Canis lupus familiaris: one gene and its partners. The protein of the gene in region 4 interacts with the protein of the main gene of each other region in a pairwise test. Links are inferred from orthologs where the notes say so. Each region holds a gene or a part of one and is shown on either strand. Other genes may lie near its edges.

Region 1 (5,227 bases), on a different chromosome or scaffold from region 4:
CTAACTTACAAGATTTAGTTTACAAAAACGGGCAGGCTGGTATCACCAAAGCCTCAGTGTCAATCACATTTGATAATTCTGACAAAAAGCAAAGTCCTTTAGGATTTGAGGTTCATGATGAAATAACAGTAACAAGGCAGGTGAGTGGCTACAAAATATTTGGATACTTAAGAACTTATATCTGACCTGTTTTTTTGGCAATATGACTTTACTGGCAAAGTTGATGAGCAAATTGATCAAATAGACTCGACCTCTTAAGAATGTCTTCCTTATTTTAAAAATTTGATCATGCAAATTCCACCATTTACCAAGAGGATTGAAAGGGATCTGGAAACCTGTCAGTCGGTACAGGCACTCAGCTGTGCTTAAATCTTGAACGGTATTTGAGTCTTCTCTGCTGGGATACCTATACTTGGGATCTTGTTACCTTCTGAGGTAATCTACTCTGTTATTGGGCAGGTCTAATTAAAAAGTTATTTCTATAAAGTGAGCCAAAGTATTATCATCAAGTTTTACATATTAAATCTGGTTCTTTGAGATCATAATCCATATTTTAATATTTCGGTTTAATATTGAGGTGTTAAATATTTAAGCTAAATCTTTCTAGGTCTTTCAACTGATAAAATTGTTTCTATTTCCTTCACTTGTCTGATTCCACTGAATACAAATTTGCGCTAGGTTTTTTTTGCCTTTATTTCATGCATGGCGCCTTAAATTGCATTTACGAGGATTAGTCTCCTTAGGACAGGATTAAGCAGAATTGTCACTTCATTTTAAGTGCGATTCTCTTTTCCCCTATATGACATTGGAGAGTTCAAAATACATTATGAATTCATATCCAACTTACTTAAAAATCACCGTAATTTTTAAAATGTGTATTAGCTGTGTTACTACCATTTCTATTTGTAAGAAGGTTTTTGAAACCAGTGCAGGACCAGACCTTTGTCCCTTTATCTTGTTATAGTCATACAATGTTCCTTTGTCAGTTTTATTTTTAAAAATTCTGTTAAGTCCTGTTTACTCTCTATGTTAGCATTATGTAGCTTGTAGATTCTGCTTTCTTTTTTAATAAAAACCTTAAGAAAAAATAAGGCATTGACTAGGTTGGGATAAAATCCTGTTCTGTGTCATTAAGCATCCATCAGATACCTTTTAGGAATTTTCATAAGTCTTCTACTAATCTACCTAAAATTCCTGTCCTCATGCAGTCCATATGCCTTTATTTTCACCAAAATTTTGTTATAGGGATTTTTAAAAAATATTTATGTATACTAGATTTCTTGTTTAAATATATTAATATATGATCTATTAGCTTAATACTCCTGTCAAGAAAAGAAATGAATTAACACTCATCCAGTAGTTTGCTGTGTGCTGGGCATTCTTAAAGGCACTGGGAAATACAGAGAGAAAAATGAGCAACATCTTTTTAAGGACCTCAAAATACTGAGGATGACATGATTATGTCCATTAAGTGACAGTATAAGGGCTATAGTACAGTGTGAACAAGCTGGTGTCTGGTAGAAGTTGTTCTTTGAAGCTCTATGGTTACTCTTTTTCTTTCAAGAATTCAAAAGTCATGTCTTTATTAACTCCTTTTAGAATCTCTCAAGGATTGTTATCAAACTGCTTATCTTTGGGGCATTTGGGTGGCCCAGTCGGTTAAGCATCTGACTATTGATTAGGGGTCGTGATCTCAAAGTTGGGAGATTGAGCCCCCTTGTCGGTCTCCCTGATGGGCATGAGGCCTGCTTAAGAGTCTCTCCCTTTCCTCTTAAAAAAGAACTGCTTGTCTTTAGTTTTTAGTATCTACGTTCTGTTCTTTGGAAATTAAAAAGTGGAGGAAAGAAGGGTTAACCTCTGAGGGTGGAAAAATTACAGAGAATGATCATGTGTAGAATATGAAAGACTCCTAACTCTGAGAAAAGAACTAGGGGTGGTGGAAGGGGAGGTGAGCGGGGGGTGGGGGTGACTGGGTGGTGGGCACTGAGGTGGGCACTTGATGGGATGAGCACTGGGTGTTATTCTGTATGTTGACAAATTGAACACCAATAAAAAATAAATTTATTAAAAGAAAAAAAAAAGAATATCGTTTCACATGTACTTGAAAACAAAGTCAGAAGTGACCTTAGAGATCTAGTCCAATGCAGGGGAGGTTAGGAGGATTGTGCTTGGTTATATAATCCAAAAGTCCTTGGATTAGAAGTCGGTTATCTTGATTCAATCTATAGTCTTTTGACCACCTCCTACTTCCTCCATTATTTACTTAGGATTGGTTTTATTTACCATTTGTTGGACAGAAGAAACAAGTGAAACATATTTGGGAATTTGTCATTTTAGTTCAAGATACGTGTGTTCATTTATATTTTTAAAAATACTTCCCTTTTAGGTGGTTATTGGTGGTAGAAATAAATATTTAATCAATGGAGTAAATGCAAACAATTCCAGAGTACAAGATCTCTTCTGTTCTGTTGGCCTTAATGTAAACAACCCTCACTTTCTCATCATGCAGGTATTTTGTTTATGGTCTTTATATAATAGTTTTGACATCGTTTATTTTAATAGGACAAGTGTTTCATTTTGGCTTTTCCATTTTTTATTTTCTGTTGCACTGGTATTTGGGTACCTGTTAAGAAGTATGTGTTAGTTATGTGTATTGATATATTCTAACATACACATTTGAAGTTTAAAGAATGTCTAGAAGTAATTTTCTTTGACTTATTTTGTTATTACAAGAATAATACATGGTCACTATAAGAATGTATTTATTTATTTTTAAAGATTTTATTTATTTATTAATGAGAGACACAGAGAGAAGCAGAGACACAGAGGGAGAAGCAGGCTCCATGCAGGGAGCGTGATGCGGGACTCGATCCTGGGACTCCAAGATCATGCTCTGGGCTGAAGGCAGGTGCTAAACCGCTGAGCCACCCAGGGATCCCCTATAAGAATTATTTAAAGTATATTGTCATAATGTATTCTTTCAGAGTATTGGGTTGAAGCATTTTATTATTTCAAATATATATTAAATTTTAAGTAATTTCCTTCCTGAGAGACTTACTCAAATGAAAAATAAGTGCTAATATTTTCTTGCCCTTATATTATCTCACTCGACTTATCCGCAAGGTCAATGGCATGATCCTGATGTGACCAAAATAACTTTATTTTTACTACATCACAGCCTTAAAGCTTAAAATTTATTTTAAATGAATCTAAATCCTTGGGATGCCTGCGTGGCTCAGTGGTTGAGCGTCTGCCTTTGATTCCGGGTGATCCCAGATTCCTGGGATGGAGTCCCACTTTAGGCTCCCTGAATGGAGCCTGCTTCTCCTCCCTCTGTCTGTGTTTCTGCCTCTCTCTCTCTGTTTCTATCATGAATAAATAAAATCTTTAAAAAAAATAATCTAAATCCTAAGTAATATGATGCTCTGAGACTTAGGTAGTGGGGTTTTGTCTTGTTTTTTTTTTTTTTTTTGGTAGCGATATTCTGGCATTGAAATAAAAGATTTTACGATTCTTTTTGAGGCTCACAAATGTGCAGTCTATTTCTAGAAATTATCTTGGAGTGTAGCCTTTAAAAAAAGACGTGTTAAACAATTATGCTAAAATTTATATATTTATATACTTATTGGACACTTTTATATCATTAATGTTGCCTCAGAAATACGGTCTGAGTTAATTTCATATTTTTTAATAACCATATCACTGGTAAGTGAAAAGGTAATTGGCAAAATTATGGAATTATAAGGTACCTTTGGTCTCAAATATAATAAAAGAAACATCTTTTCATGTAGATTAAAGAAAGAACTCCTTAAAGATTGGTATATTAGGATGGAACAGCTTCAGTGAAGATAAACATGTATGCCTTTAGGTAGGTGATTAATTTATCATTATAGTAACTGCCATTTTATTTTTCAGGGCCGAATTACCAAAGTATTGAATATGAAACCTCCAGAGGTAAGGATGCTATTTGTGGACAGTAAAAATTATAATTGTGAATAGTGTTTTAATCTTTTAAATCAATTTTTAAAAATTTCTTCCATTAAAATTCTTAGAAACATTATTGATTTAAAAGTGGCTAGTAAAGAATTTTTTTTTTAAAACTATTTGGCAAAAAAATAAAAAAATAAAAAAAAAATAAAACTATTTGGCGCTATACCTCCCTACCCATTTTTTTATTTGTTTGTTTTTTTTTTTAAGATTATATTTATTCTTGAGAGACAGACAGAGAAGCAGAGACATAGGTAGAGGGAGAAGCAGGCTCCTTGGGAGCCTGATGCAGGACTTGATCCTAGGAGTCCTGGGTCACGACCTGAGCCAAAGGCAGATGCTCAACTACTGAGCCACCCAGGTGCCCTACCACTTCACCTTTTTAAAGTTGTATAACATAACCCTTCTGATCCTTTGTTTCTTTATCCATAAATTAGAGTTAGTAGTCCATACCTCATGTCTTTTCTGAGGATTAAATGAGGATGTATAAGAAAATGCCTGGGACATTGGGGCGCAGATATTTTTTTTTTTTTTTTTTTTAATAGAGGTAGAAGTGGCATATTAGTTGGTATGCGATGTAGTGATTAAACATATGTAGATGTTGCAAAATGATCCTTACAAATCTAGTTAACATCCATAACCAGTTACAATTTTCTTTTTCTTAGGATAACTTTTAAGATTTACTCTCCTAGTAACTTTCAAATATATAATACAGTATTATTAATTATGGTCCTCATGCTGTAACATGGTGACTACCATGTATATCCCCAGGACTTTTATAACTGAGAGGTTGTACCTTTTCACCTGGACCTATTTTGCCCACCCACTAACTCCCATCTTTGGTAACCATGAATATGTTCTCTATAAGCTCAGGGTTTTTTTTTTTCTTTTTTTCTTTTTAGATTCCGCATATAGGTTATATGGTATTTGTCTTTCTCTGACTTATTTCACTTAGCATAATGCCCTCAAATTCTATCCACATTGTCACAAATAGCAAAATTGCATTCTTTTTTAAATAGCTTTATTATATGCCATTGTGTATATATGTATATATGTCACATCTTTTTATTCATTTATCTGTCAGTGGACACTTAGGTTGTTTCCATGTCTTGGTATTGTAAATGAGGGTGCTGATACCTTTTCAAGTTAGTACCTTTGTTTTCTTTGGATAAATAGCCAGAATGGAATTGCTGGATTACATGGTAGTTATATTTTTAGTTTTCTGAGGAACCTTCATAGT
Region 2 (5,227 bases), on a different chromosome or scaffold from region 4:
TCTTAAACCAAGCAAACAAACAAAACAGAAACGGACTCATAAATACAGAGAACAAACTGGTGGTTGCCAGGGTGGTGGTGGTGCAGGGGGAAGATGGGTGAAATAGATGAAAGGGGAGAAGAGGGGAAAAACTTAGAGTTATAAAATTAAAAAGTGTCACCATGTGTAACTTTATTCTCTGATGCTTTTCATAATAAAGCATCGTGTCATTTTAGTATCTTAGATTTGGTTGTCACATACTATCATATTAAGCTATAGTTCTTAAGATTAATTTTAACTCCTAGCATATTTGAAGAAAATTATTTACATAAAAGTTTTATTCAACTTCTTCGCCCCTCTCTCATTTCTTTTTAAGAGGGTAAACGGGAAAAAATCAATGAGTTGTTAAAATACATTGAAGAGAGATTACATACCTTAGAGGAAGAAAAGGAAGAACTAGCTCAGTATCAGAAGTGGGATAAAATGAGACGAGCCTTGGAATATACCATTTACAACCAGGAACTTAACGAGACTCGTGCTAAACTTGATGAGGTAAAAGAACTTTGTCACTTAAATTCAGAGAGATTTTAGTTTGTTTTATATGTTAAGCTCATTTTATATTTCTATTTTTCAATGATTTTTAAATAGAAACTTAAAGAATTTTAAACCTCTTAGTGAAATCATTGGTCAGTAAAATTGTTCGTTCAGTTTCGTTCAGTTTATTCCAAGGAAAGTCCTTAGACCTGTATGGTCCTTGCTATAGTTGTGTCTGAAATATAATCAGGTGGTGGTGCAGTGCAAACCAAGATGAGGGAAGCCACCTTTAAAAGCTTCATGAAAAAAAAAAAAAAGGAAAAAAAAATAAAAGCTTCATGAAGGGGTGCCTGGCTGGCTCAGTCAGTGGAATATGGGACTCTTGGTACTAGGGTCATGAGTTTAAGCCCCATGTTGGGGGTGGAGTTTACTTTATAAAAAAAAAAAGCTTCGGGGATCCCTGGGTGGCGCAGCGATTTAGCGCCTGCCTTTGGCCCAGGGCGTGATCCTGGAGACCCGGGATCGAATCCCACGTCAGGCTCCCGGTGCATGGAGCCTGCTTCTCCCTCTGCCTGTGTCTCTGCCTCTCCTTCTGCCTGTGTCTCTGCCTCTCTCTCTCTCTCTCTGTGTGACTATCATAAATAAATAAAAATTAAAAAAAAAAAAAGCTTCATGAATTTTTTTTGGGCTTTTTAGTATGTATTTTTGTTGTTTCTCCCTCTGCCTATGCCTCTCTGTGTCTCTCGTGAATAAATAAAATCTTAAAAAAAAAGTATTTTGTAATTAGTATTGCTGATTTTTTTTTTTTTTTTTGTATTGCCAACCTTTTGTCCAAAAATTTGTTAATTTGTTTTAGGTAATATTTAAAACTATAGGAGCTTTCCATTTAAAACTACTAAAAAAAAAAAAATAATAAATAAAAGCCTCTTCAAGTGAATGATTTTATTTTAGCAGATATTTTAAAATTCTGCTACGTTATGACATATTAAATACAAAGTGAGTTAGAACTTACAGCTTTTTGTCCCCCTCAGCTTTCTGCTAAGCGAGAGACTAGTGGAGAAAAATCCAGACAATTAAGAGATGCCCAGCAGGATGCAAGAGATAAGATGGAGGTAAGATTATAAACGAGGCTTATGTTGACTTACATTTTTTGACCACAGTAAATCCTTTTGTACCAGAATTAGGGAGTGGAAACTTCAAACAGGTGTTACTGGGATTGAGTATTAGAAAGACAGAATAGTACTGAACTTGTAAATGAAGGGAAAAAAGGACAGAACTAATAGAAACTCTGCTGTTCCACTTCTAATTGTTTGATTCATTTGTTTGATACTTGACTAGGATATTGAGCGCCAAGTTAGAGAATTGAAAACAAAAATTTCAGCTATGAAAGAAGAAAAGGAGCAGCTCAGCGCTGAAAGGCAAGAACAAATTAAGCAGAGGACTAAGTTGGAGCTTAAAGCCAAAGATTTACAAGATGAACTGGCAGGCAATAGTGAACAAAGGGTAAGTTAAAATGCTAAAAATGAAAGACTTATAAATGTTAAAGCTGAATAGGAATTGCAAAAGACCATGCCTTCTGTCATGGGGGTACATGATTTTAAATTTTTGAAAAAGATCTGGCACATTAAAATAATTTCTACTCATGTAGCAGCTCAGTACTGTGTCCTGTTTCTTTCATTTAAAAGTTAGTTTTGTGTTGCAGGATCAGTTTTCTCATCAATTTTTTTTCATGAGAAAATATTTTATGCTAGACTTAAGCAGAAATTTTTAAGATTGCATTTTTACTTACCCTGCTTTATTTACAGAAACGCTTATTAAAAGAGAGGCAGAAGCTACTTGAAAAAATAGAAGAGAAGCAGAAAGAACTGGCAGAAACAGAACCTAAATTCAACAGTGTGAAAGAAAAAGAAGAGCGAGGAATTGCTAGGTCTGGGATTTCTTTTACCATTTCTAACTTTCTATGTAGTTTTTCTGTGAAAGCTAAATAGTTATGAATTAAGACACAGAGCAAAAGTTAAATCCAGTTTCAAAGTAATAGTCTATGTTAAACAGCTACTGTGGGCCAAGCATTACTGTATATACATCATATACATTTTTTTCACTCAGAAGCCCTAAGAGATTCACATCCTCAGTGTAAGTTCAACAAACTCAAGGCTCTGGTACGTTAAATAACTTGCCTAGATGTTGGGCTTTTGAAAACATGGATTTGTTGTTCTTTTTTTTTTTTTTATTAAACCAACATAACATCTTGCTCTGTTTCACCCTTTTTCCTTTTTTCATTGTTGTTTTAACATCTGGACATTTTAGTGTCTGTAAATTGAACATGACAACTTTGCTGATTTCATGGTTTAGTGCATTATGTTTTTATGCTACCAGTATCTGTTTTAGTAAATTATTTCCTTTGCCCATTTTTGTCTGATACTTTTCCTATTGTTTGATTAGGGTTGTTTGTAATCTGTATTTATTCTAGTATTCTATATATTGTAAATGTTTTGTCTTTCTCTTGCCCTTTTTTTTTTTTTTTTTTTTAAGACTTTATTTATTCATGAGAGAGACAGAGAGAGAGAGGCAGAGACACAGAGGGAGAAGTCCAATGCGGGACTCAGTCCCGGGTCTCCAGGATCACCCCCTGGGTCAAAGGCAGCGCTAAACCGCTGTGCCACCTGGGCTGCCCTTTCTCTTGCCTTTTAACCTTGGTAGTATCATTTATTGTAAGGAGTTAGAAATGTCTATATAGTTAAATGCATTTTGAAAATTCCTGAGAGTAGTAGGATATTAGAACTGTCTCTAGCTTTACTAACCCAGACCTGGAGTAGAAATAAAGACATTATGTGCCTGAAATCCTTAGGATATGGGCTATTTTACATGACTTTAAATGTGACTTTTCAAAATAAAATTTATAGGGACGCCTGGGTGGCTCAGCGGTTGAGCCTTTGGCTCAGGGCATGATCCCAGAGTCCCGGGATCGAGTCTTGCATTGGGCTCCCTGCATGGAGCCTGCTTCACCCTCTGCCTGTGTCTCTGCCTCTCTTTCTCTCTCTGTCTCTTGTGAATAAATAAAATATTTTTTAAAAATAAAATGAAATTTATATTATTTAGTACTAGTCCAAGGAGCTGTATTAGATACCAGTTGCTTTTGTTTTTTTAATGGAATTTTAAAAATGACTATTGTTTCTGTGTGCTCTTGACATATCAATTGCAGTTTAAATTTATTTTCTCATCTCTTTTTTAATCATTCTTTTCTTCTGTCTTGTATAGATTGGCCCAAGCTACCCAGGAAAGAACAGATCTTTATGCAAAGCAGGGTCGAGGAAGCCAGTTTACATCAAAAGAAGAAAGAGATAAGTGGATTAAAAAGGAACTGAAGTCTTTAGATCAGGCTATTAATGACAAGAAAAGACAGATTGCGGCTATCCACAAGGATTTGGAGGACACTGAGGCAAATAAAGAGAAAAACCTGGAGCAGTATAATGTAAGAGCTTTTATAGCTACTTTGTGAAAACCTTTCAGAAGACATAAACATGTACATGTTGCCTATTTCATTAAGTTTTACTTTGTTGAACAGTTACATTGCTACTCTTAATTTACAGAAAACAGGTACTTAGAAAAGATTAGCCCAATTTAATATCTATATGGTAGTTTTTTTTCCAGCTCTATAAGAGTTCGTATACATTGAGTATATCTTAAAATATATTTTTATAAATTGGTGGAATGTTCCTGAAGTACCTTTAATTTTAACATGATAAATCTAAAATATAACTTCAGAGTAACTTAAATTTTTTTCCATTTTTACAATCTTTCACAGTTCTCTGTCAATAACTTATACAGAATATATTTTTTGTTAAGGCAGTGGTGATTTTATAAGATTTTCTAAATGAATTAAACATTAGCTACTATGCATGTTTGGTAGCATTTTCTAAAAAATGGAAGTAGAAGATAAAATCCCATCTAGAATAAGAAAGATCTCACATTATTTAAAATGAGAAAGAGGGAAAATGGTAAGTGTTATGTGTGGCTGTATATAGGTGATTGAAGGCCTATAGAAATGATGAGAAAGGGAGTGTGTAGGACAAGTGTAGGGTGAGGATGTTCTATATGTATCTACACAGAGGAACCCTGTTAACTTATGAGATCTGCACCAGTTGGTTATTGGTTTATCAAAAAGCCACTAAATGCATAAAATCTTGACATAGGTAAGATGTATATTAAAATTTTATGTATAATAGTAAATATTATTTATATACATGTAAACATAACATATCTTATTTTGCTTATAAAGATAAAGGTATGCTCATGGACTGGGCTTTTCATTTTTTAAGAGCAGTGTTGGGTTCACAGCAAAATTGGGAGGAAGATACAGAAGTTTCCTATATATCTTGTACCCCCACAAATGCATAGCTTCCCCCATTATCAGTACCCCCCCACCAGAATTCATACCAGTCTTTTCATGTAGAGCCCAAGATGTTTCTTTTGAGTATGAGTAGTTTCCAGGGGACTTTTTTGTTACGAGCCACGCATGTAAGTATAGTTCTCCTTAGAGCTGAATGAAACTTCCAAGATTCAATCTAGGGTCATATATTATATTTAGTTGTCATATTTCTGTTATCTTTTGTAATCTGGATCAGTTCCCTAGTCTAACTTTGTGATTTGACATTTTGAATTACTGTATTTTGTTAATAAAGTACATATTACATATTAATACGTGTTTTTATGT
Region 3 (5,227 bases), on a different chromosome or scaffold from region 4:
TGTGGGGCTGCATCCCAGGACCCTGAGATCATGACCTGAGCTAAACTCAGATTGAGTCACCCAGGCACCCCTTAACATGTTTTTCTAAGCAAGGTGTACCTATACATTTTTTTTTAAAACAGAAATGGAATCATCCTTTTTGCATTTGTTTTTTACACTGCATACTATCTTATGTATTTATTTTTTGCATAGTATTTTTTAATTTTTTAAAAAAATTTTATTTATTTATGATAGTCACAGAGAGAGAGAGAGAGGCAGAGACATAGGCAGAGGGAGAAGCAGGCTCCATGCACCGGGAGCCCGACGTGGGACTCGATCCTGGGTCTCCAGGATCGTGCCCTGGGCCAAAGGCAGGCGCCAAACCGCTGCGCCACCCAGAGATCCCTTTGCATAGTATTTTTTGAAGATTCTATTTATTTATTCATGAGAGACACAGAGAGAAGCAGAGACATAGGCAGAGGGAGAAGCAGGCTCCCTGCAGGGAGCCTGATGTGGGACTCGATCCCCAGGACTCCAGCATCACGCCCTGAGCCAGAAGGCAGATGCTTAACCACTGAGCTATCCAAGCGTCCCTGCATAGTATTTTAAAAACTACTTTTTTGCCTGACAGTATTTTGTGTATACCTTGTCTTGTCATTACATATTATCTTATGACATCATCTATAACATTTTACATTTTTAAATTTAAAAATGATATGTTGTCACTGTAAGACATTTAAATATCACAGAAAAGTATTGCAGGCGTAAGCTACTGTTATTCTGCTCTCAAGTGATAACCACCATTAGCAGGTCTCTATACAGCCTTCCATTTCCTTTTTCTAAGGCTATTCTGTCCATATGCTTTTAAAAAGATATAATCACTTTACACACACTGTTTTTACTTTTTCACTAAATTGAGCTTGAACATGTCAGAACATGTAAACCACCCTAACTCTTTTTAATGGGAGTAGAATATGGAACTATCATAACCAACATCTTGTTAATGAGTGTTTGAATTATTTCTAGTTTTACTTTAATACAGATTGAACATCCTTCTACATAGATCTTTAAGTGCTTGAGTAAGGGCTGTAAAATGAATTCCTAGCACTGGACTCACTGATACAGAGTACAAACAGAATGGACATTTAAATATTTAATAGAATTGTCCTCCAGAAAGACTCTATCAGTTTACAGTACTCCCTCCATTGGAGAGCATCTTCACAACTTATTTCTCTTTGTGGATTCCGGTTTTGGGGTTTCAAAGGCTTTTACCAAAGAGAGATCAGACAAATATTTCAGGTAGATTTTTTTTTCCCCATAAGCCAGACTTTTCAAATCTCTTAAATATTAAAAAAATATATCTACTAGTTTTCCTTTATGCAACGAAGTAAAACAAAGGAAACAAAATGAAACACACATTAAGAAATTAAGAAAAAATACTTGTACATGGTTTAAAAATAGAAACAATCCAAGGGCACTGGCTGGCTTGGTCAGAAGAGCATGCAATTCTTCATTTCGAGGCTGTGAGTTTGAGCCCCCCCTTGGATGTAGAGATTATTAAGTAAAATAAAACTTAAAAATTTAAAAATATATGTAAGTGGGACACCTGGGTGGCTCGGTGTTGAGCATCTGCCTTTGAATCAGGGTGTGATCCTGGCATCCCGGGATCAAATCCCATATTTGGCTTCTGCATGGAGCCTGCTTCTCCCTCTGCCTGTGTCTCTGCTTGTCTCTCTCTGTGTCTCTCATGAATAAATAAATAAAATCTTTTAAAATGTGTGTGTGTGTGTATACACACACACATATATATGCAAGCCAAGATACAAAATGTAAAATAAGGGATCCCTGGGTGGCGCAGCGGTTTAGCGCCTGCCTTTGGCCCAGGGCGCGATCCTGGAGACCCGAGATCGAGTCCCACATCAGGCTCCCGGTGCATGGAGCCTGCTTCTCCCTCTGCCTGTGTCTCTGCCTCTCTCTCTCTCTCTCTCTCTCTCTCTCTGTGTGACTATCATAAATAAATAAAAATTTTAAAAAATGTAAAATAAAAGACTTGTCTCTCTTCAAAGTAATCATTGTTAACATTTTTTGTATAATTCCTTCTAGAAAAAAGTTCTATGTATAGATGGAATATTATGAATATTCCTAGAGCCGTTATCTCCAGCTCTGACCAATTAAAATTTTATGACTTCCTTAATTAGTTGAAACATGTCTCCCCAACTCTGGTGACCATAGACCTAGGAGCTTTACATTTCAGTTGGATAAAGATGGGGTCTATAGTAAAACAACTTGACAACTAAGTCATAATCTCTTTATACTGAATGGCAGGAAAACATGACTGAGAAATTTGTCATTTGTGATGGAGAACAAGCATAGTCTTATTTAATCTTACCAGAAAAAAAATCTTACCAGAGATCTGCACTTTAGTATGATTACATAGTGAATATATTCTTTGTTTGGTTCCCCAGGTTTTAAATATTTTGTATCTTTAGCATGCTTGTTAGCACATGATTTGTAACATAACCTAAATGAAACAAAGTACTTGTAGGTCAGTAATTTGTTTCAGTATCTCTTTGCTAAAAGGAGGCCCATGATTCTGATTTCATATATTTCTTTCACGGAGAGAGAGCTTGTGTTAATGTTTGAACAACAGCTCAGCATCTTGGTGTACCTGTATTTCATTTACACAATAGGGAACATAACCGACATGTGCCCCTAACTTTGCATCTTTCATTTAATGCATCTTGAAGATTCGTCCGCATCAGGACATATGCATCTATTGAGGAAGATATTTTTAAACCTAGAGGTAGATTTTTAATGTTAATGAATTGTCTTTCACTCTTCACGGCCTGCGGCCCTACTGTCTTTTCCCATTGGTTTCCCAGGGAAAGGCCTGGAGTGGTGCAGTACTAAGTCATCACACCAAGACTGAGATCCCCTCACACAGTCTGAGGCTGTGACACTTCTCAATGGTGCTCTCTAGCGCACAGGAACAGCTCCTGGTGTCAGCACCAACTTTTGCTCCTCTTTGTCTGGTTTCCTTCATCCCGCCCCCCCCCCCCCCCCCCCCCCCCGCCCCAAACTGTCCGTGGATATAGATGGCTGAAAAACAGGTACCTTCTCAGGCTAATGGAAGGGGGCTGCAGCATTTCTTCTTCCTCATTTCCTGACTCCTGATGTCTGCCATGTTTTATTTCCATTCTAGGGGAAGCCATATGTCTTTGACCGTGTGTTCCCCCCAAACACGACTCAGGAGCAAGTTTATCATGCGTGTGCCATGCAGATTGTCAAAGGTAGCATGTATTATCTTTGTAAGATGTATTTTTAGAATGTATATTTTCTGGTTCCCCATTCCCTACTCCACTTCTTTCCACCAATGCTCTTTCTTGGCTATGTCTTCCAGATGTCCTTGCTGGCTACAATGGCACCATTTTTGCTTATGGACAGACATCCTCAGGGAAAACACATACCATGGAGGTGAGGGCTCTGACTTTCATGAGGGGTGAGGAACTGTGAGTGTTAATGAGAGGCCAAGGAATCTCAGGCAAGATCTAGGAATCAAGCTTGCTTGGTCTGGAGGATGAACTGAGGGGCAGGATTATAATGGAAGCTTGGTGAAATCCCTCTAGCCTGCTGCAGTTTCCCATCCTTTCCACTACTCCAGTTTGCTTCTTTTGATCCAGAAAAGCAGCTGCAATAAAGGTCCAAAGGGACCCTCAGTTCTCTCCTTGTTCTCGGTAGACATGGCAGTGACTGCCTTGTACCTTCAGATGATCCTCTCATCAACTATCACCTTCATGTTCACCTGTTGACCTCTTGGGTGGCCTCATTGTTTTGAGTTCCAGTCTCAGTCTCAGATACTCTTCCTCTCCAGGGAAAGCTGCATGACCCCCAGCTGATGGGAATCATTCCTCGAATTGCCCGAGACATCTTCAATCACATCTACTCCATGGATGAGAACCTGGAGTTCCATATCAAGGTGATCACGGTTTAACAGCTGGGTGTCGTCAGAGAGGGACTAGGAGGAGAAGAGCTAGTATGAACTCATTGAGAACCTGGGCACCCCAACTTATTTTCCTGCCCTGCTTACCACAGTTCTTCTGCTCTATTTCTCTTCCTCCTACTGGTTGAGTGGGTCACATTCACTTGAGATCCCTATATCAGACTTATGATAGGCCCTCTTCACTTTCTCCCTGACCAGGTTTCTTACTTTGAGATTTACCTGGACAAAATTCGCGACCTTCTGGATGGTGAGTGGTGTTTAGCCCCATTGGATGGGCAGGGGTGGGAGGAGAGCAAGGAAAAGAAAGATCACATTGTTCTTGGCAAGAGATGCAGAGGAATCACACACTCATACCCCTGTCCCTTGCCTCCATTCACCAAAATTTCTAAAAGCAAAAAGGGTCAGAAGATGAGCTGAAATACCTAGGCCTATATAGAAACACCCTGAGACCAGCTGGAACCTTAAGGCTAGAATCCTGGAGGAGGAGAAATTTAAGCTTTCAGGGTGTGGGGATTTAAGCTTGATGGGAAAGTCTTTCTCCTTTTTAAAAATTTAATTTATTTGTTTGTTTGTTTGAAAGAGGGAGAGGGAGAGAGGACACAAGTTGGGGGTAGGGGGGGCAGCAAAGGGAGACAGACAAACAGACTCCGCACTGAGTGCAGAGCCTGAAATGGGGCTCGATCTCATAACCCTGAGATCATAACCTGAACCGAAATCAAGAGTTGGATGCTTAACCAACTGCACCACCCAGGAGAGGGCTTCTTTTTTGCATGTAGAAGAAACCACTGTCTCAGCAGACTATAGGGTACGGGGTTGGGGGTGGAAGTGCTAGCCTTGCTTACTCTGCATTGTTTTGATTCAGTGACCAAGACAAATCTGTCTGTGCATGAGGACAAGAATCGGGTGCCATTTGTCAAGGTGAGTGTGGGGACAGGGGTACCTGGGTGTGGGTCACTGTACTAAGAGTACAGGAGGGTAGGCCAGAGGCCCAGAAGCTGGAGGGCAGATGTTTTGGAGGAGTGAGATGTGCCGAGGGGCTGGGGAGAGTCTGAGGGCTTGGAAAAGACATTCTTAAAAGGTCATCTGATCAGTTTTCAGGTAATATAATTTGCAGATTGCCGTTTATGGGTCACTCTCCCTTTGAACCCTGCAGGGTTGTACTGAACGCTTTGTGTCCAGCCCAGAGGAGATTTTAGATGTGATTGACGAGGGGAAATCAAATCGTCATGTGGCCGTCACCAGTGAGTG
Region 4 (5,227 bases):
TTTAAAAGAAATGAATAGCCCTAAGAATATTCATTTCAAATGGCAAAGACTAAAAATAAATGAACTAAGTATTTTACACAAGAGACTAAAAACGTAAATAACCAAAGAAATTAAAAGGAAAAATAAGAAGAGGAGAAATCAATGAAATGAAAACAGAAGTGAGTATCTGCAAAACCAGAAGCTGTCTTTGCTAGAGGGTGCATATTTCAATAGTTTCTTTTTTTTTTTTCAATAGTTTCTTTAAAGTCTCATCAAAGAAAAGAAAAGACAAAATTTTTGGAAGAAAAAGAAAACTATAGATATATTTTTTAAATCATAAAAGCATAGTTGAAACATCCTTATGCCATGACTTTGTAAAACATGAACAAAACAGTTCCCTGGAGAAAGGATGGGGAGGGCACGGCCCGGACATTGGTTTCTGCTCCCCCTCCCACAGCCAAGCTTCCTGCCCTGTGTGCAGCCCACATGTGGGAGATGTGCTGCTTCCAGAAACCCTCGGCCCCCAGCCAGGCAGCCAGCTTCCTCCGCTCACCCACGTGCCTTGCAAATATCATTTTCTGCACATGCCAGGCAGCGAGAAAATTTGGCAAACTCTAGTCTGTGTGGAACCCGATTGTTACCTAAGCAAACTGATGCCTGGAGTAAGGATTTCACTTCACTGTCCCTTATTGGCAAAGATCTGGCCAGTATCACCTAAGTGGAAGTAGTACGTACAACTTCCGAGAAATAGTCTAGAAGGAAAGAGGCATGTTCCTCTCTTTCTCTTCTTCCCCTTCCCTCCTTCCTGCTGGATGGACCTGGACAGCCTCCTTGGACCACGAGGTGCCCTAAGGCACAGGGTCACACATGGGCCACAACCACCTGCAGACTCTGAGTTGTGAGCTAAAGCACCTACCACCTCATTTAAGCCACTAATGCTGTAGATCTCTGAATTCCAAAAGAAATAGAAAAACGGAATATACCCATTCAAGAAACTGACTTGTAAAGCAAAGAGAAAGGATTAGCTCAAATGATCAGAAAAGCTAGTAACACGGAGACTTCAATACTAAGAAAAGAGCCAAGAGAAGGAATCAGCAGTCACGACCGAATCATAATCAGCCATTAAGGAAATGCATATTAAACACAAAGAATGTGACTGTTCCAAGCACTGATGCGGACAGGAAAAAACCGAAACTCTCACAGGCCGTGGTGAAAACATAAGTGGTACAACCACTTTGGAAAACACTGGGCAGTTTCTTGGAAAGATCAATATACGCTGACTATGTGAGCCAGCGGTCTTGCTCCTCGGTATTTACCCAAAGGAATCAAAGTGTTTGTCCACGTGGAACTCGTACGTGAATGTTCTCCACAGTTTTACCTGCAAGAGACCCAAACTAGAAATGACCCAAACACTCATGACCTGACAGATGGATACACACACTGTGGTGCATCCAGACAGTGCACTACCCAGCAATAAAAAGAAATGAACTGTTGATGCCTGCTGAAAAACAGATCTCAAAATAATTGTGATGACTGAAAGAAGCCAGGCCAAGCAGGAGCACATGCCCTCTGACTCCACTCAACTGCAGTTCTGGGAAACACCAACCACAGTGGCCAAATGCAGAGGAGCAGCTGCTGGGCCCTGGCGGGAGGTGGCTGGGAGGGACCCCATAGGCCTGCAGGGCATGGGCCACTGCAGGGTGGGGTGGGGAGGGGGATGCACAAGTTGACCATGCTGCCTGTGGACGGTGCACACGTGGAAGACTCTTGTTCCACTGGGACAGTACCTGGGGACAGCCACTTAGAGGACTAATTTGGCAGCACCTGGTGAAATCGAAGCTCTGTACGTGCTCTGGCACAGCAATTCTGAGCGTGGACACAGACTCTAAAGCAGGATCGCAAACTCCAGCCCCAGGCTGGGTCCTGTTGTTGTGAATAAAGCTTTACTGGAACACAGCCACACACATGGTTTACTGCTGTCTACACCAGGGCTGCTTTCAGGCTACATCAGCAGAGCTGAGAAGCTGCAACAGACTGTACGCGGCTCATCAGCCTAAAATATTTACTATCTGGCCCTTCTCAGAAAATGTTTGCCGACTGGTGCTCCGAGAGACACTGGCATCTGCATGCCAGGAGACACATGAAAGGAGTTCGTCAGAGTTTATAACTGTGGAAGGCTGACGAAACCTATGTCCACCATTAAAGGAATTAACGAACAAATACTGGAATACCAGTCATCAATTAAGACGACTGAACTAGACCCCCAGGTATCCACACAGGGAGGGTCTCAGAACTTAATGGTGCCCAAAGAAAGCAATCTGCGTCACATGCCAGCAACAGGGCAGCACTGAAAACTCACCCGAGCAGAGGCAGCTGCGTTTAAAGTATGGCTCACACCAAGTTCGTCCCTGTGGCTGCCCTACGGACAGTGGGGTTGGGGCAGAGGCAGAAAAAACATCAACTTTTCCTGTACGTTTCAATTGCTTTTATTTTAAAACTCTAAGCTCTTTTCAGAAGACCAATCAGTGAAATTTAAATCTGATGTTTATGAGCGTACTACGGAAAACAGAGCAGAGCAGCCTCCTTGTTCCCTGTCTGCAATACACATCACCCCGATTCTGAAGCACTTATTAGCTGTACTTTTCTAAAGCAGCAAATGTTCACCACTCAAGGACATTTTTCCCTTTTATCTTCTAAAGTCAAAGTATGTACTCTGAAATTTACTCTTCAGACGAAAGCCTAAAGCACAGACCTTGTGTGCATCGCATAGCAAACAGGGCTATAAAATTTAAACCAACTGAAGCTTCAAAGGTTGCCTACATTAACAGCCTGGAGGGACACACTCACGGTTTCCGACTGGGTCCCAGAAACACTGCCAGGGACACCAGGACAGCCCCTCGGGCCTGTGAAAAGGCCTATGACATGAAAATTTCACAGCACAGACAATGGACCACAGAAAGACCATTCTTCTTTCAGAGGAGCCAACGGTGCTGCCGTGGATAGAGCCCCGGGGAGCACTCTTCTCCTGGGACTGTTCCGGGGCCCCCCTGAGGTGGCTATCAACTGCAGAGTCCCCTCCCTGCTGTTTCAAGCCACATCGTCATTACAAACCCGGACATCTGAGGCAGAATTATCTGTGCATGTGTGTAAAACTTCCTGGAATTGTTGGCTGCTGCTGAAACTATCCAAGAAACATCTTTCTGTTACAAAACCAGTAAGTGAAGATACATTCTTATTTTTTAAAGTGACTATAACAGAAACGTAGCTGTGACATTTGAGGCCTACTATGTGGCTGGCAAGTATTTGCCCCAGGGTCATATGCTCAGGGGCGGTGGCTGGCCAGGAGCTGCGGGTCCCAACAAACAACATCCCACAGCTGCAAGAAAGACAGCTGGCAGGCCAGGGATAAGCAGCACCTGGATTTAAAAGCCAGACTTGAAAACTCCCTGGTCTCTTAGTGTGGAGGCAGCCAGGGCCAGGCGGCCAGCCTCCCGACTCTGCAAGCAGGGAGAGGGACTGGACGAGGCAGGAAGGGGACAGCCACGGGATCAGAGCAGAACAGGCCCTTGGCCTTGATTCCTGAGCCCCCACCCAGGACACGCCAGAGGAGCCCAGAATTTTCTATCCTCCCAACCAAGGAGGAGGTGGAGCGGGGAGCTTTAAAGTGTGTCAGCGGACTCTGCTGATGAGCACATTTGCAGGCATCACTTCTTACCTTCTCTCCAGGTCTGGGTGACCGCTGTAACTTCTCATAATCTTTCTTGGTCTCCAGAATTTTTTTCACAAGTCCTCCTGTTGAGAATCAGTGATTTTATGTTATTCTCTAAAGAGCTCTTCTATTCTAAATGGGCAGAGGGGAGGCAAGAACACTAGTTTCTTGTTTTTCCTCTTTCTATCTATATTCTACATGGCTTCAAATCATCTTTATTTGCTTGGAGTCTACAATAGTCTAATACAGCTGGTGGTAGAAATTAACTATAAAACTTCAGAGTGAAAAAAAAAAAAACTTCAGAGTGTTTCAAAGAAATCAGCTCCTCAAAGGTAAAAAAAAAAAAAAAAAAACATTGGAAACAGAAAAGAATTATGAGGACACGTAGATGGACATTCAAACATATAGCCACCTTGCCACAAACAGGTGTGCCAACTCTGAGCTGTTTCTAAGCACAAATACTCCTTTTATATTAGTTCAAGAGCCTTCAACTTCCTTTAAAAAAAAAAAAAATTGCCCATGGGGGTAAATATCATACAAAACATTTTCTTTAGAATACTGTCTCATGCAAATGCACATCCATATGAAATTGGCTGCATACGCCCCGAAGCACCCGGATGGCAGAGGAGGGCTCAGCTGTGAGCAGCAGTGAGGATGACTTGTCTGCGCTGCTCGGGGACGAACGCCAACACACGATGCCAAGTCACAACAGCAAGACAGAGACACGCAGATACTGCTAAATGCACACACACACTCCAGGCACATGTACTAACTTACAGTTTTTTAAATCAAAGTATAAGCCATATGTCTTACCATTACCTACAGGGAGAGGGCAGGTGGAGGCCCCAATCTCAGAATATACATTGTTTGGTACATTTCACCTCAGAAATGTATTATTTTACATAAATAAAATCAGATTTTTCAATGCCTAAAAATTGAAACCAAAATGAAACTAATACACCTAATAATATCAAACTGGCAAGCACAGCCTAACAAAGAATTGCTTTGTAACTTTGCAACAGAGTGGTTGGCTGTCCATCCCTGATGGGACATAACCTGAGAACAGACAGACCTGACCTCCCAAGAAACACCCGATAGTGTTTTCAGTCATTGTTGTTGCTAGTGACCGGTGGTGGTGGTCTAAAGATGCCGTGTGCATGCCATAGGGTAAGGCAAACAGATGGCGACGTTGGGAGCCAGGATTTGGGGCATGAGATAGACACGTACGTATAATATCAAAAATTTAGGAAAGACTCTAGTATAGTAAAGCTGCGTTGGAAATACCAGTATGAACTTGGATATATTTTCTCATTAGAAAAAAAAAGGCAAGAAAACCCCTGAAAACAATGACCAACCCAGAAGCAACACGCAGCCAGGCTCCTTGGGGAAATGGAGGGTTCCAGCTATGGGGCAGGAAATACACAAAATGAGCCTGAAACATCTGGTCGTCTCAGAAAACAAGGAAGCTGCAAAGTCTCCTGGGATGTGTCAAAAGCCCCCAAAAACCACTCAAACAGGCTCCCTCGGTTACATATTGGA

Evidence for each region.
Region 1: the proteins of TRAF3IP1 (region 4) and SMC2 interact in a two-hybrid assay, tested with the Homo sapiens proteins (2 studies listed by BioGRID and IntAct). The link is inferred for Canis lupus familiaris from reciprocal best matches to the Homo sapiens genes TRAF3IP1 and SMC2.
Region 2: the proteins of TRAF3IP1 (region 4) and SMC3 interact in a two-hybrid assay, tested with the Homo sapiens proteins (2 studies listed by BioGRID and IntAct). The link is inferred for Canis lupus familiaris from reciprocal best matches to the Homo sapiens genes TRAF3IP1 and SMC3.
Region 3: the proteins of TRAF3IP1 (region 4) and KIF5A interact in a two-hybrid assay, tested with the Homo sapiens proteins (2 studies listed by IntAct). The link is inferred for Canis lupus familiaris from reciprocal best matches to the Homo sapiens genes TRAF3IP1 and KIF5A.

What each region holds. Positions count from the first base shown.
Region 1 is NC_049232.1:60,449,588-60,454,814, forward strand, and holds part of SMC2 (structural maintenance of chromosomes protein 2), read left to right. Parts: coding exon 1-140; intron 141-2,386; coding exon 2,387-2,509; intron 2,510-3,915; coding exon 3,916-3,954; intron 3,955-5,227. UniProt on the Homo sapiens protein: Central component of the condensin complex, a complex required for conversion of interphase chromatin into mitotic-like condense chromosomes.
Region 2 is NC_049249.1:22,130,012-22,135,238, forward strand, and holds part of SMC3 (structural maintenance of chromosomes protein 3), read left to right. Parts: intron 1-355; coding exon 356-531; intron 532-1,544; coding exon 1,545-1,625; intron 1,626-1,851; coding exon 1,852-2,016; intron 2,017-2,318; coding exon 2,319-2,440; intron 2,441-3,771; coding exon 3,772-3,985; intron 3,986-5,227. UniProt on the Homo sapiens protein: Central component of cohesin, a complex required for chromosome cohesion during the cell cycle. The cohesin complex may form a large proteinaceous ring within which sister chromatids can be trapped.
Region 3 is NC_049231.1:1,999,795-2,005,021, forward strand, and holds part of KIF5A (kinesin heavy chain), read left to right. Parts: intron 1-3,181; coding exon 3,182-3,269; intron 3,270-3,379; coding exon 3,380-3,453; intron 3,454-3,850; coding exon 3,851-3,955; intron 3,956-4,177; coding exon 4,178-4,226; intron 4,227-4,841; coding exon 4,842-4,897; intron 4,898-5,132; coding exon 5,133-5,220; intron 5,221-5,227. UniProt on the Homo sapiens protein: Microtubule-dependent motor required for slow axonal transport of neurofilament proteins (NFH, NFM and NFL). Can induce formation of neurite-like membrane protrusions in non-neuronal cells in a ZFYVE27-dependent manner.
Region 4 is NC_049246.1:49,086,675-49,091,901, reverse strand, and holds part of TRAF3IP1 (TRAF3-interacting protein 1), read right to left. Parts: intron 3,772-5,227; coding exon 3,695-3,771; intron 2,399-3,694; coding exon 2,339-2,398; intron 1-2,338.